2 linked regions of the Tribolium castaneum genome follow. The main gene of each other region encodes a partner of the protein of the gene in region 2 in a complex. Links are inferred from orthologs where the notes say so. Each region holds a gene or a part of one and is shown on either strand. Other genes may lie near its edges. The genes, in order: exu and me31B.

The links.
Region 1: me31B (region 2) and exu share a complex: the UniProt entries of both Drosophila melanogaster proteins name them as parts of the osk RNP complex. The link is inferred for Tribolium castaneum from reciprocal best matches to the Drosophila melanogaster genes me31B and exu.

The regions. Positions count from the first base shown.
Region 1 is NC_087396.1:24,605,755-24,609,681, forward strand, and holds the start of exu (maternal protein exuperantia-1), read left to right. Parts: upstream 1-1,281; 5' UTR 1,282-1,426; intron 1,427-1,570; exon of another isoform or gene 1,571-1,619; intron 1,620-1,674; 5' UTR 1,675-1,681; coding exon 1,682-2,455; intron 2,456-2,523; coding exon 2,524-2,712; intron 2,713-3,927. UniProt on the Drosophila melanogaster protein: Ensures the proper localization of the mRNA of the bicoid gene to the anterior regions of the oocyte thus playing a fundamental role in the establishment of the polarity of the oocyte. May bind the bcd mRNA.
Region 2 is NC_087402.1:3,103,375-3,107,301, reverse strand, and holds the start of me31B (ATP-dependent RNA helicase me31b), read right to left. Parts: upstream 2,501-3,927; 5' UTR 2,366-2,500; exon of another isoform or gene 2,228-2,365; intron 1,944-2,227; 5' UTR 1,822-1,943; coding exon 1,769-1,821; intron 1,715-1,768; coding exon 1,633-1,714; intron 1,402-1,632; coding exon 1,233-1,401; intron 448-1,232; coding exon 1-447. Other genes in the region: KIF-binding protein, read left to right, coding at 3,509-3,710, 3,756-3,927. UniProt on the Drosophila melanogaster protein: ATP-dependent RNA helicase which is a core component of a variety of ribonucleoprotein complexes (RNPs) that play critical roles in translational repression and mRNA decapping during embryogenesis, oogenesis, neurogenesis and neurotransmission.

The sequences.
Region 1 (3,927 bases), on a different chromosome or scaffold from region 2:
ACAGCTTCCCTAGATTAACGATTTTTTTTATTAAAACGAAGAGACAATCAAAAATGCATAGCAATTATTAAAGTTTAAATAAGTTTAAAATAAGCTCCTTTTTATTTGTTAAAAATATTCCTACCTTATAAGTTAAGTTATAAAATACCATTTTTGTTTAATTCTGATTATAATCACACAAAAAATCTGTAGGTAAGTGCAATTCATTCCATTTTAAATACGTAATTATTAGCAATATTGTCCATAATATAGGGTATATTCGGATTATGTATGTAGATTGCACTTGCAACAACCATAACTTTAAATTTAAATCGAACTTGTGTTTTAATTAATTGTGTCTAAAAAAAACAATTTGGTGTTGAAAAAAAAATGAAAATCTCCATGTGTCTTGTTTGCTATACAGTACGATATTATACGATATGACGTGAACAACACCGGAACCAGATGCTCGTCTATTCCGGTGCTGTTGCCTATCAGCGACGTTTTCTTTACACAGGTGTTCATTGTAATAAGGACAGTCATACGACGATACTTTTTACACAAACACCTTTACGACCAATAATCGCTCCTTAAGTCACTGTTTTTTTTAAACTCCACAAAAAATTCATTAATTACTTCAAAACCCCCCCAAAAAATGCAAAAACGAGTCAATATCCAGAAACTTCTACGTAAAAATCTGGTGCCTTTTTGTTTTCAAACTCTTCTAGGTACTTGCTTTGAAATTAAGTTGGCCATTTTAACTACGAAATTTAATAAATGTCAGACTTGTAGTCAATAATTCGGTGTTGCCAACATAATGCCAAAGACATAGGCCACTTTGATCAGAAACTTAATTGAAAGCTTCCTATAAATAACTATTTGTATAGTATGGCAAAATTTGTCCATCTTTCATTAGACTCGTCTTAAATAATTAGCCAACAGTATAAATTTTTGTATTTAATTATAATTATAATTTCAAAGAGAAAAATTATAATTTTAAAGCGTGCTAGAAACATAGGATAAAGAGAGTAAAAGATTACAAATTAAATTTTTAATTTCTGATATGGGGCGACATCGGTTGGTGAAGAGTTGTAGCTCAAGTTCACTCGTGTTGAACACTTGTGTAAAAATTTCTGTAAAGTCGGATAAACATAAATATTATTCATGTTTTTTCACTTAGTTTAAAGTCTCTGGAACGTGGTGGAAATTTGCTTTTTCCCTTTTTCAAAAAAATGGCATTTTCTAAAAACCCCAAAACAATTTTTGTCACAAACTTTCAACATTTTGTTGGCCACTGTTTAACCTCCTACATGGATCAAGTTAGCGGCTGTTTCAAACAGCTGATCTAATCCCAGCAACATATGTTTTTGTTTACACAAAAATTCACTTGTTTTTTAATCGTGCTGTCAATCGAATGCGAATCAATCATTTTCTAATTCTAAAAACGGTAAGTCCTCAATTTCAAATTCCGCGCAGTACATGACGTACTTCCGTCTCTCGCCCCCACCTCATTACCCTACACACGTGCAAAATGCATTTTCCACAAAATCACAGCTAATGTTACTAGTGTTCTCACACCTATATTTTCTAGTCTCAAACTTTCCCAACACCTCAACCCTTTACCCAAGAACAAACTTGTGGTAAGTGTAATTATAAGCTTGGGCGTGTCGTAAAAATGTCGCCACGTGTTTCCAGAACCAGCATGGTCCAGAACGACAGTTCGAATTCAGGCGACGAGGGCTCGCCCCCAGTAGCCGCCCCCAACCCGGCCAAGGGCATTCCTTTGGGGAAGTACCGCCTCGTGGGTTGGGGGGTGGACACCACCGGACGCCGCCTCATCGACGAAATCTGCCAAATCGCCGCCTACAGCCCTTCAAGTCAATTTTCCCAATACATCATGCCCTTCTCAGATTTAAACCCTTCGTACCGTCGCAAACACAGCATCCGTGTAGTCAACACGGGTCGCTATCGCATGCTCAAAGACATGCGATCGAATAAATTCGTCAAGACCAAGAGCGACGTGGCGGCGCTTACCGACTTCCTCGAATGGCTGGAGAAGGTGCAAGGGGATGACGCCCACGACGGCATCATCCTCATCTACCACGAGATACGCAAAGCATCACCAGGCATGCTCCTGGAGGTCCTACGCAGGTACAACCTCCTGGAGCGTTTCGCTAAAATTGTCAAAGGCTTTGCGAACGGTTTTAACATTGCTCAAGCAAAATGCGCCAAAACCACCAAATCGTTCAGTCTGAGAGTCATGGCTAAGGTGCTCCTCAACCGCGAAGATGAAGATTTTTCCAGTGCTGTTGACCGAGCGAGGGTTTCGTATGAAATTGCGGCGCATTTAGCGCAAGGCGAACGCCAGGATTTGGACGAGAAGAAACCCACAGGAACCGAACCCGAAATTATTAATTTTGTTTGCCCGTTTGTTAATCCTATTTCAGCAGAAGAGGATGAAATTGCACAGTTTAAGGTCAGTTTTTCGATCAGTGATAATGATAAGTTTATCGTGACTTATCGCAAAAAAATTTTTGATTTCAGGTGTTGCTAGAAAGGCAAAACACTTTCCGCCCTGTTTTTGGTGCCTTATTGAGAGCGAGTCGCCCCGAAAGACAGCATGCAACGCATTTGAGACGACTTTTGGCCGAAAATAATATTAATTATGATAAATTGAAGCAGGCGTATGAGGATGGTGCAAAGGATGGATTGGATAAGGTGCTAAAAAGTGAGGTAAGTTATTCTACAGAATGTTCCAGCGAGTTGAAAAAGTTCATTATTCATACTAACCCCCTTTGATCTAAAATTATTATTTTCAAATATACAGGGTATTTCAGAAATGAATTCCATTCCAAACCCATTATTATTTTTTTAAATGGTACACTATATTTTTTTACATTTTTGGTTGTAAATTTTAACACTGATTTTCTTAAGCTACATTATTATTAGTGGAGTTTGCTTAGTTTTTGAAATAATTTGTTTTTTGTCGAAAACACGCTTTGTAAAAAAAAATATTCTTAAAAAACTAAGAATTCCATAAAAGAAGGACTTTCACCACTTTTATTTTTTTATTTTCGCAGTTAAGTGCCTCTTCTGATTACTCAAAGATTTAACTTTATGCTTTGTTGATTTTTTACGTGTCAAATTTGCCCTATCCTCGAGGTTATCCTTAATAATTACTATGGAAATGTACTAAAACGTCTGAATTTTTTTTAAAATGTCAATTTCATGTCACATTTAAATTTTCTAGTAGTCGCAGGAATGATTTCAGAATTGGCGCGAATAGAAAAATTCTGGTTAATTGTTATTAAACACAGTTATTTTTTGAGAAAATTTACTTAAAAATGTAAAAACAAACCCCCCTTCATGTTGACGTCACTAATTTTCATCAAACTATGCATTCAAAGCTACCTGTGATCAACATGACCTAATTTAATCGCAGACGATCAGAGGTCAATGACCCTTGGGGGTTATTATAAACACGAAAAAATAAAAAAAAGTATTAGAATCTGTGTAATTACCTTAACGGGATCTTTTTCTTCTCTTGCTGTCGAAAGCAAGGTCTCCAAAACAAATGTAAAATGAGAAAAAATGAAACTTTTCCAGTCACTAAAACCACCCCTCGACCACACTTCACTTGAAAAATTTCACTCGGTTTACACATTGTTTGTAACTAATTAAATTGGACAATGTTGTGACTGTAGTAACCGAACAAAAAGTCTTGAATTTTCAGTTTTGTACAAATTTAAAAACGACGCCACCACTCTCGCGCATACCCCATTTTAAAACTGTTGGCAGTGGTGTCGCAACGTCTATTGGCAACGAATGCACGCGCGAAATTCAAAAAAATGTTCGTATTTTAGTTTTCGTCCTAATTCAGTAAGTTTTTGTCCAATTAAGCCCAAAAAGGCTCAGTTAACTTAAAAAAGTAGTTTATTTTTCAATTTC
Region 2 (3,927 bases):
GATCTCGGAGATGTTTTCGCATAAACTGCTCAACTGTGAGAGGAAACGTGGCGGAGAACAACAGTATTTGTCTCTCTTGCGGTAAGTTCTTTATCACAGTGTCGAGCATCCCCTTGAAGTCTTGTGAGAGAAGCTTGTCGGCTTCGTCTAAAACTAGAATCTTGCACTGGTCCATTACGGCGACACCCTTTTCCATCAGATCGAGGATGCGGCCAGGCGTTGCTATAATAACTTGTACTTTCTGGTAGATGCGCATTATGTCATCTCTTAAATTTGTTCCACCGGTCGTTACCATCACGCGCACGTCCAAGTGCTTAGCGAGCTCAATGCAAATTTGTGACGTTTGAAGCGCGAGCTCTCGTGTAGGCACTATGATCAGTGCTTGAATGCAGTCTTTCTTGGGATCGATCTGTTCCAACACGGGAATACTGTACGCACCGGTTTTACCTGAAGACCAAAGCATTCAATAATTGACAGCCAATTTTTAGATTATGTCTGTAAAAGTTTGGCCCTCTTCTTTGTCTTTTTTTATTATAAAAATATTGATTTGTAACTAATTTCCAGTTTTTGGTATATCTGATATGATATATGTATAATGATAAATGCAATAAACAGTATTACATCCAAAAAAGATAAGCAAACAAACACAAGTGAGCTAGAGAGGTAATGTATTTCGAGTACATAACGAATACAAGTAAACAAGGTCACCCAATTTACAATAGGCAGTGAACAAATAACGATGATTTTAACATTTCTGGTGTTTGTCTGTGTCTCGGTTCGAACTACCGCTTATGTAGTGAAAGAAAATATAAAAAAAAACACAAATTAATTTTTTACATCGCGTGTTTTTTAGAATAGGACAGTTTAATAATAACACGTATTTTTTGACATCACAAGTAAATTAGTAAATTAAGAAAGTACAATCAGAATTACAAAAAAGAGAACGTTTTATTATTGACTTGATTGTTAAAAAAATTTTGTACAAAAAAGCTCAATTCTGCGAACTAAATTACCAAATAAAGTAGCTTGACTGATTTATAGCGCCCACTTATTCGAGCTGGTATTTCATAAGCGCAAATTACTGTATGTGATTTTTTGCGTCATATTCAAAAATAAATATGACTATTAGCAAAAATCAAGCCATTAGTTTTGCATATTTGTCCCCCCATCCAATTATTGAGTAACAGAACAGGCTTACTAAATATGCACTAAACATTGAGTAAAAAACATACCTGTGCCATTTTTTGCCCTTGCAAGAATATCCTTGCCAGATAACGCAATTGGAATAGAAGCTTCTTGGATAGGAGACGGTTTCTCCCACCCTTTTTCAAAAATACCCATTAATAATTCTCTCTTCAAGCAGAATTCTTCAAATTCATTTCCCCTGGTATCAGTCACATCCTAGTAACAAATACTTGATAAAATAACGGTAACACCTTTTTTGCACGAATGGTGAAAGAAATGCATGAAATCAGGCAAGACGTTATCATTTATAAGAAAAATGAAGGGGAATCCATAGTGTCATCATGTTAATAATGGAAAGCTTTGAATATTATTCCCGGTTTAGACATGCAAGTGACCCAAAGCCTTCCAAGTGACCGTGAACGTACAAAGCAGTGAGTTTTAACTTACACTGGTCTGTATTCTCCTATCCTTGGGTGGAATCTTCAGTTTGGCTTTCCATCCCATGTCATCCATTTTGGTGTCAATATCACTGCAAGGAAGCGGTTCGTCACCGCACATTCTTAATGATAAGCAAACAACTTACACTTTGCCTGACAAAGCCATCACATGGTTCGAATTCAATGTGTCCGTCATCATAATTGTAGAAAATACTATTGCAAGTGTATTAAAAAATAGGGTTTATAAAACCCAAATCTTCTTCCTCTACAATGTGTAGGATAAGTACAGTTCCTAAGATCCCTCACAGGAACGATAATAATCTGCAAAATCCCAGTTTAAACATCAATGACGCAGAAAATTTAAGGTCAATACGGAATAGATATAACCACAAAAATAGAACATCCCGTAATTGTTGCAGTGTCAATAATAGCCAGGTCATGAACATTCACTGGCGATACGGAAATAAAACCCTCAAAAACGGCCAAAAGTTCGACGATTGCAACAAATAAACAGGATTCAGATTTCTAATTAAAATGGCTACTGATTCTTGTGTACAGTGCACCGTCGACTACACATAAATTATTGCACAACGACGCAAATTTACCTGATTCTGGACAAAGAATTTAAGGAATACCGTCGAGACACCCTGGGAAATACTCAGACATTGCTCATAATGTGTGATTTTTGCATCAAATCGCTCTTTTCGAATAACTTTTACCACTGATATGGACGCTTTACTCACCAAAAGGAAAATGACTTTCAGCAATTAACAATGGCCGCGAATCTGCAATGCCAGGATGCTCCGCTAACCAAAGGACAACCCGTGAGATGGCGCGAGAAACAATCGGAAAAAATCAAAGAATTTTTGAAATTTTTGGCCAAAAAATACAATTTTTTTATGGCAGTGATAACAAAGCGCCCCTGATAGGGTCCGTCTCCTTCAACCATAATAAAATTAAGTAACCACTCATGTAAAAAGCTCACAAAAAAGCGTTCAAATTGCGCGCACCACCTTGTTCTCTTCTCACCACCCACAGCACCACCTTGTTCTCTGGCACCACCCACAGAATAACAGGTTTTACAGAAACGCATCTGTCCTTGTCCCGATAGAGCGAAAGTGTCACTAGCACATCTATTGTTGCCAGCGCGTACTAAGCGTTATCGGCGGGCGATTTGAATTGCCCGTAGTTACTTTTCTTTTAAAGTTTGATTGCATTTTTCGTATTGTTTGTAAATATTCACAACAATAGTTGCTAATAACACTTTCTGATGTTAGACAACTATTGTTGCTGAATATTTACAAAGAATACGAAAAATAAAATATGAGAATAAATAAAGACAATAAACTTGTAATAAAAATTTATTATCACTAGTCAATATACACGATACGATAACTATAAACTAATGATTGATCCATCAAATTATTTATATTCCCACAATAAAAAAGTTCAAAAAAGCACACACACGAAAAAAACCACAAAACAGTACTAATTTCACATAAAACAAAGCCGAAGGCGAACACCAAACAAACCAAGCACAAAATGGCGATTTACACAATGGCAACTGTCACAGGTCCACTGTTAATTTCTGCCGATATTATAGGTAGCTTCGCTAAAATTGACTATACGTGTGTGCGACATCTGCGATAGCAAGCCGAACTACAGTCGATTTTGAATTTGGCGCCTATACTTGGCTTGGTGCATTTAGGTTTCACCACCCTGGCACCACCTTTTTCATCCATGATTTGACAGCTATTTAACCTACAATTTGTCGGTCATTTTAATAACAAATAAACAGAATTTTAGCAAAAAATTGAGATTTCGGTAATAACTGTATTGCCGCATTTTTGGAGAGTTACATTTTGCAATAATTTTCAGTATACGTCATGACTGCAAGCAAGGAGGTTTTTGTCGATTTAGAGGAAAAATTCAATAAGGTCCTTAAGTTACTCGAGGACAGTAAATACGACCCTGAAAATCAGCCTTTCGTGTCGAAATATGCGGCCAGCGAGACCCTAGTCAGCATGAAAGCGAGTCTAGAAAATGTGATAGAAACTCAGCCAGACAATGACAAGATAAAACTAACAGGTGGTGCCACATTGTTGTAAATTTGCCTGAAGGTGATAATTTTAGCAATGTTGGGAAGTGTGTACCTGTATCTTGGTATGACTTCAATTGCCACTGAGGAATTATCGACTGGGGAGGGCTATTTGGCAAAGTGTGAAGACCTGATAAAGGATTGCACAGAGGAGCCCCAAGTGGTTATGGTAACATTGAATATGTACAACCAGTTTGGGATTTTGTG